Linked DNA regions of Arabidopsis thaliana. The protein of the gene in region 1 purifies or fractionates together with the protein of each later gene. This does not show direct contact. Each region holds a gene or a part of one and is shown on either strand. Other genes may lie near its edges. The genes, in order: RPT6A and RPN1A.

Region 1 (3,923 bases):
GAGACTTGGCACTGTGGCCTAAATGCTAAGCACTATGACAAAGAATACTTTATAGAACGATATTCATTCACAACGGAACCATATTCATTGTAGCAACAAAGAACACTTTCCCCATTTAACTTAACAGCTCATGTCCATTTTATAGCAACTAATGGCGGACATGTTAAAAGATGTTATCTTATCAACAGTTCCATATTTTCCTATCAACCACTATTACCATGCTTGAAATTTAAAATAGGGACTACCATATACTAACCTTGCCATCACAAAAAGTTCTCTGACCATTCTAGAACCTTCTCCAATGTATTTCTGGACAAGCTCGGAACCAGAAACTCTTATGAAAGTACAGTCAGTGTGATGTGCAACAGCCCGAGCCAATAGTGTCTTCCCAGTTCCAGGTGGACCGTATAACAACACACCCTAGAAAGACAGAGAGATGAGATTACGTCTAATCCACTTAGCATCATCACAATATGGAGAAGAAGGTTTAAGATTCAAGTGTACCTTTGGCTGCGCAATTCCAAGAGACTCAAACAATTCAGGATGCTTGATTGGCAGCTCAATGACCTGATAAACCAGAAAAGATATAGATATTATATAAACATTAAAAGGATGAAACAACAGAGGAGATAGCCAATACTGTAGTGACTTTTAGTTTCGGTTTCTCATTCACTAAGCATACCTCCTTTATTTCCTTAATCTGCTGGTCAAGACCACCAATCATGTCATAGGTGGAGTCTGGAACCTTCTCAACTTTCATAAGGTTAACCAAGGGATCTACTTTACTTGGCAGAACCAGGTGGAGAACATAGCTATCATTACGAAGAGCAACTCTCGTTGATGGAGTGATTTTCGTAATGTCTATACTTTTGTCAATATCAACAACATACTTCCCCTCTGGATGAACCTGGAAAATGGGAGTGTAAGCCTTACTGACAACTATGTTCGTAGAAATACAAACATGATAATAAAAAAGATTCATACCTTAACCAAGACCTTGTTCTTTCCCATAACTTTTACCACTTCTCCCACATAGGACCCAGGTTCTTGAAGGAGCTGTAACTCTTCTCTGAGCATTCTCACTGTTCAATTAGAAATAATTTTAGTGTTAACGAGGTTTGAGATTTAGAACTAACTACAAATTATAAAGACTAGTAAGAAAACCTTCATGCATAAATAGGATGGTGATCATGATGACAACAGAAGCTGTTCTATAACTTTAAATGTGTAACTAAAATCATGGTATAGTGGAAAGGACTATATGGGCTCCTTCCAAAAGTATATATTCCTCAATGAAGATAGTGAAGAAATAACTAGGCTTTCCTGAAAAAAGCCACATACTTTGCAAAAGAACCAACAAGAAGACAGAATCTAGAAATCTAAACAAGTTAATGTTGCTAAAATCAAGACTAATCACTTCCAGATCGGAAACACTAAATCACCACAACAATTTTGAAATTTGAAATCACTCAGCTCCAATTGGAACGAAATCGAAAGCCCTAGCACAGAATCTGAGATTACGAAACACAAGGAGATGATAAAAAAGATCCAATTTTGCAGAGAATTAGGGTAAGAGAAGGAAGAAGAGACCTCGAGAATTGAGTTCATTCCTTTGAGCTTCAAGGCGATTGAGGTTATTAGTCTTCTGTCGAAGCTGGCGCTGGAGCTCATGGATGTGCTGGAGATAGTACTGCTTAAGCCCTTCCCCTTGTTTCGCCGCCGCTCCTTTCACGTTACAGGTTTCCTCCATCGCTGTCTCAGGACGCCTCGAATCTACTCCTACGGCCGCCATTTTCTCAGTGATTGAAACAAATTATCGAAGACAGAGATCTCTAGTAAGGAGATGAGAAGAAAAAGGAGAGAGATTAGTTTTCGTCGATCAGAATCTCAGAAACCCTCACGCGAAGCATTATATGATATCACCTAAATTAATAAAAAGGAAATTAACTCAACAATAGAAATATTTTTATTTTACTTTTTGCTTGTCTTAACCTTCTAGTTCGTTTAGAGTCCTTCCTCGAGTCTACGTTTTCTCAGGCTTACTCTAGCTGGTGGCTAATAAGCCGTTGGAACCATCTTAGAGATAAAACGTTCTGCTTGTTAGTAATTTAAGTTTCACCTTATCGAGTAAGAAGAGAGTTGTCGAGGGAGATAGTTGAAACTTTGAAACATTCGGATTAATAACTTCTTCTTTTTCGTTTAAATCTTACTTTAATACACATCATAAACATGTTTTATTACTAGATCAAAGATTTGAATAACATTTTAGTGTAGTTGATGCATGATGTCTCAACAACATGTTTCAACATCAACGACTTTGATTGGTGAATAAAAACAAAGTATTACAATTTGTATAGCTTTTTTTTATACAAAACACAAAAAGATTATCAAAAGTGTTACAAAAAGTTTTACTCTCACTTTTATTGTAAGGTTTTCTCGTACCGTTCTTTTTTACAGCTTTATAATATTCCGAAAAAACGTACACCTAAATTTTTTATACGACTTATTGTAAACAATCAGATCCGTTAATCTAAAATTTTGTACAGCTTTGTGTTGTACAGCCAGATGACAACAATTTTAGATTTATTATGTTTATTTAAGCGTTGGTTCAGCACATATCGTTAATCTAAAAGAGAGTGAATCTCAACAATGACTACATGCAATCTCAATTATTTGCTTAATTAGTGCATTGACTAGTTTATGTCCAAAATACACAATAATTTCTCTACAAACAAACAAAAATTCTCTACATACACACAGACAAAATCAATATGTTTAATATTCTTCCATTAATGGTGAGTTGACCAAAATTAACACCACAATTAAACTCAAAGTGACTAAAAAGATTACTAACAAAATTGTCCCGTACGATAAGACACTGACGAGAGAAGTCGTCGCCTTCCTCTAATTAGTCTCTGAATAATCCGATCCAGATCCCAAATCCTCTCTTCTTCATCTTCACCGATCTGGATCTCCCAAAAACCTCCACCAAAAACCAAAACAATGTCGTCCTCTCGATTCGATTCAAACAAACAATTAACAACAAGCAGTCTCGTAATCGGCTACGCACTCTGCTCAAGCCTCCTCGCCGTAATCAACAAATTAGCAATCACATACTTCAACTACCCAGGTCTCCTCACAGCTCTTCAATACCTAACCTGCACCGTCGCCGTCTATCTTCTCGGCAAATCAGGGTTAATCAATCACGATCCATTCACATGGGACACTGCTAAGAAATTTCTCCCTGCAGCTATCGTCTTCTACCTCGCTATCTTCACAAACACAAACCTCCTCCGTCACGCTAATGTCGATACTTTCATCGTCTTCCGATCTCTAACACCGCTCTTAGTCGCGATCGCTGATACTGTGTTTCGTAGTCAGCCTTTACCTTCGAGACTTACGTTTTTGTCTCTCGTCGTTATCCTCGCTGGAGCTGTTGGGTATGTTGCAACTGACTCGTCTTTTACTCTAACGGCTTATTCATGGGCTTTGGCTTATCTTGTTACCATTACTACTGAAATGGTTTACATTAAGCATATGGTCTCTAATATTAAATTGAACATTTGGGGATTGGTTCTCTACAATAATCTACTGTCTCTGATGATAGCACCGGTGTTCTGGTTTCTTACTGGAGAATTCACCGAGGTTTTCGCGGCGTTGAGTGAGAATAGAGGGAATTTGTTTGAGCCTTATGCGTTTTCTTCTGTGGCTGCGTCGTGTGTGTTTGGTTTCCTTATCAGTTACTTTGGATTTGCTGCTAGGAATGCTATCTCTGCTACTGCTTTTACAGTCACTGGTGTTGTTAACAAGTTCTTGACTGTTGTCATCAATGTTTTGATTTGGGATAAGCATGCCACTCCTGTTGGTTTGGTTTGTCTTCTTTTTACTATCTGTGGAGGTGTTGGTTATCAGCAGAGTGTCAA
Region 2 (3,923 bases), on another chromosome or scaffold:
ATATATGTTTTAAATCGTATTTTTGATTGGTAATTGTATAGAGATTTAGAGCACCGCCAGTTGCCGGAATCCCGCATGCTCTGCCGCCGCATCACACGATGTACAAACCAAATCTTGGATTTGGTGGTGCTCGTCCTCCGGTAGACTTACATCCGGTAAGAATCTAATATAATGAATTGATTGTTGTCGAGTTTTGACTTTTCGCATTTGATTATGTAATTATGTATTTTTGACTTTTTGTGTATATATATTATAAATGGAACAGTCAAAAGAGAGCGTGGATGCAGCCATAGGAGATGTATTGACGAGGCCATGGCTGCCACTTCCGTTGGGATTAAATCCGCCGGCTGTTGACGGTGTTATGACAGAGCTTCACCGTCACGGTGTCTCTGAGGTTCCTCCGACCGCGTCTTGTGCCTGAAACGCACAAGATCCGTAGGCAAGCGAGAACCAAACAAAAATTCGACGACATGTCTTTCAATTATTGTACTTTTATTTTTCCAAGGGTTGTTTTTGTTTTGACCCTTGTTGTGTTAAGAGTTACTCTTTACTTAATCGTCCCATGTGACTAATAAGGAGACCCTTTTCATATGTATCTAGGGTGCTAAGTACACTCTAGCTCTATTAACGCAAATAAATTACCTATATTTTCTCTAACCATTGGTGATTTAGAACTTGATTGCTTATATAAAGTTTTTTTATAAAACATAACACAACAAATTTCCATATCAAATGATCATATGGAAATTGGAAGCGTTCAAAGCAAAGTCGCAAACGACGACCAATTGATTATAAAGAGGACAACCTCACGAGTATATATACACTTATAATTTATAAACATAACTTATACTTAAAAATACCAGCCGGTTATATATGGTGAAAAATGAGTAATGAAATTGTGTGTTTACCATGCATATATTACCGTATAAAAACGTATTGTTGGGATTGAGAGAACAATGGCATAAAATAATAATGAGGAGAGAGGGAGAGGACCACGAGATAAGAGGAGAAGGAAGTGCATGGAGGCAACGTAAAATCCAACGTAACGACCTCTTCTTTCTCCAATTGTGACCACTCTCTCTCTCTCTCTCTCGTCTCCTTCAAATTTGAATGGTCCCTCTCTCTTCATAATTGATAATTCATATACATGCGGATACTATTACTAGCATCTCATTTTCCACTCACACTTGTACACATATGCTTTTTATAAGTACGTATTTATAGGCAAAAGTAAATATATTCAAACCCTACATGCATGGTATTAAAATCCAATATAACCAAAATGAATACTCGGTTCAAATTCAAAAATTTAAAGGACTTTGGTCGAAGATAATGAAGACAAATCATTTTTTTTTGTTCTAACCGGACATTCCAAATCGAAATGCACACTAGTTTTTGGTGCCTACATCTACATTGGCTAACTTTTACTAAAATCATAGTGAAAATAACAAAAAACCATGGTCTCTATAAACTCTTTGGTGAAGATTTCAACTACTAAATTACCATGAGATAGATGGTCAAAAATTGTCAATATTGAATTTACAAGGATCATGAGATATTTCAACAATTTTACTAATGACCAGATCCAATGCAGTGAATTAGACGAAACTATGACTTCACTAGGTTGTGAAAGAAAAGCTTGTCTTGCAGTTTTGTCTGCGACCGGTCGAAAAGAGAATGAAAATATGTCGAAATCCTCTTCAAACGTGAAATAAATTAACTGTCATAAGGATAAATTATGTTTGTTCAACCATACAGAAATATGATGAATAAATAATTTTAGACATGTGGGCCCATGTAAGAAGAACTCACTAAATGAGCCCAATACGGTTAATGGGCTGTGACATTGAAAAAGAGGTTGTAATGGGCTGATTGATTCTATAGTGTAGAAATCTTGATCGAGGGGTTATCTTCTCCGATTCCAATATTTAGATTCTTCTTCATATATTATTGTGCTTTGATTAGAGAGTTGCAGAAGAGTTTTTTTTGTTTTAATTCCTGCAATCAGAGAGTTTTCGATAGCACAAGCACAAGCTTCTCGATTCGTTTGAGTGTTCAAATTTCAAGCTTTTTACAAGGGGTTCCTTAGATTGATCTGTTACTGTAGAGATGGCTCCAACTCAGGATCCCAACAGTGTCGGAGGCGGTGCGAAGAAAGATGAAGCTACCTTGAAGGTTCCGTCTAAGGATCCCAAGAAGAAGGACGAGAAAAAGGATGAGGATTTGGTAAAGTTTCTTCTTTCTCGGTTTTTTGATTTATCGAATCCTTTTTCGACATTGTGTGTCGTGTTTAGTATCTGGGTTCATCAGAAACGAATTAATTTCAAATCTGTAAGATCTGCAGTTAGGTTTTTAATTGGAGTCTCGATCGAGTTGAAGTAGGGGTGTTATAGAATTAGGGTTTTTAATCTGGCAAAGTGAGTGTTTTGTTCGTCATTAGACTAGCCGGATTAGAAAGTTGTTAACTTGTGATGTGAGGAAAGTTTTTTTTGTTTGTATATGGTCACTTTCTTAATGACTCGACTTACATTGGGTTGTGATTGTAGTCTGAAGAGGACTTGGAACTAAAGCAGAACCTTGAGCTCTATGTTGAGAGGGTTCAGGATCCTAATCCGGAATTGCAGAAGGCTGCCCTTGAGAGCATGAGGTAATTCTTGACTTGATCAGCTTCGGGTTTTCAGATTATTGCCACTGAAGCTTGTACAACTTATAAAGCTTTTTTTCTTTCTCTCTGCTCTTGGTGTACATGTTTATGTTTTTAATTAGAGTTTTATTTGGCTTTGTAGGCAGGAAATCCGAGCTTCAACAAGTTCCATGACTTCAGTTCCCAAACCACTAAAGTTTCTGCGTCCCCATTATGGAACTCTTAAAGCGTTTCATGAAACAATGGCTGATTCTGATCTCAAAGTATGTCATCATTGATTTCAAGTCATTAACAATTCTTATATTGGTATGGCTTAAAAATTACATTTGCTATGTTTGCAGAAGTACCTGTCCGATATCCTGTCTGTCCTGGCCCTTACCATGTCTGCAGATGGTGAAAGGGTATGCTTCTACTGACTTGGGCATACTTTGTATTCTGATTTGTATTTTTTAAGGCATACTTTGAACTGCTAATCACTTTCTTTTACAATATAATTCCAGGAAAGCTTAAGGTTTAGATTGATTGGAACAGAGGGTGACATTGGATCGTGGGGTCATGAATATGTCAGGAATTTAGCTGGAGAGATTGCACAAGAGTATACAAAGCGTCAGGTTAGAAATCAATTTTCGATTTTGTCTTTGGAAATTCAGTTTCTCGTCCTAGGACTTGTGCAGATATTCTAAGATTGTTGGAAGTTGTGTTTGGGTTTATCCTTCTGAATTCTGATGGTTGGAGTTTTGAGGAATGACTAAATGTGTCTTATTCAATGAGAAAGGTCACTGAGTCATATTTATCTACCTGTTCATTATCTCAGAGTGAGGAGGCCTCTATTGACGATTTAATGGAGCTTGTGCAACAAATTGTTGCTTTTCACATGAAGGTGAATTCCTAAACTAATAGGGCTTGAGATTAGCACCTCTGCGATTTATTTATTTCTAAACGATTTCATTTACTCCTTGCAGCATAATGCAGAAACCGAAGCTGTTGATCTTTTAATGGATGTTGAGGATCTTGATCTCTTACTTGAGCATGTAGACAAAACAAATTTCAAGAGGACATGCAACTATCTCACAAGTGCAGCTAGGTACTTTAAACATAGTCAATCCTATTTATTTTATTTTTCCTCACTCTTTGTTATTTGAACTGATCTTGTAGAAACAAGTGGTGAGCTTTGTTTATATTTGCTTCCAAAAATCTCTCTGACGTCTTATATATTTGAATTTTCAGGTACCTTCCTGGACCAGATGACATGTTGGTTCTAGATATTTCCTACATGATT

The links.
Region 2: the proteins of RPT6A (region 1) and RPN1A purify together in Arabidopsis thaliana (affinity purification with mass spectrometry; 2 studies listed by BioGRID, with this or other methods). This does not show direct contact.

Annotation. Positions count from the first base shown.
Region 1 is NC_003076.8:6,750,013-6,753,935, reverse strand, and holds the start of RPT6A (regulatory particle triple-A ATPase 6A), read right to left. Parts: upstream 2,139-3,923; 5' UTR 1,976-2,138; exon of another isoform or gene 1,833-1,975; 5' UTR 1,793-1,832; coding exon 1,591-1,792; exon of another isoform or gene 1,193-1,590; coding exon of another isoform or gene 1,165-1,192; intron 1,083-1,164; coding exon 985-1,082; intron 908-984; coding exon 683-907; intron 568-682; coding exon 505-567; intron 421-504; coding exon 257-420; intron 1-256. Other genes in the region: GONST4 (golgi nucleotide sugar transporter 4), read left to right, coding at 3,004-3,923. UniProt on the Arabidopsis thaliana protein: The 26S proteasome is involved in the ATP-dependent degradation of ubiquitinated proteins. The regulatory (or ATPase) complex confers ATP dependency and substrate specificity to the 26S complex.
Region 2 is NC_003071.7:8,857,102-8,861,024, forward strand, and holds the start of RPN1A (26S proteasome regulatory subunit S2 1A), read left to right. Parts: upstream 1-1,860; 5' UTR 1,861-2,109; coding exon 2,110-2,226; intron 2,227-2,546; coding exon 2,547-2,647; intron 2,648-2,786; coding exon 2,787-2,907; intron 2,908-2,985; coding exon 2,986-3,045; intron 3,046-3,144; coding exon 3,145-3,255; intron 3,256-3,458; coding exon 3,459-3,524; intron 3,525-3,606; coding exon 3,607-3,728; intron 3,729-3,871; coding exon 3,872-3,923. Other genes in the region: GPRI1 (GBF's pro-rich region-interacting factor 1), read left to right, coding at 42-155, 266-421. UniProt on the Arabidopsis thaliana protein: Acts as a regulatory subunit of the 26 proteasome which is involved in the ATP-dependent degradation of ubiquitinated proteins. Required during embryogenesis. Required for optimal plant growth and stress responses. Required for innate immunity.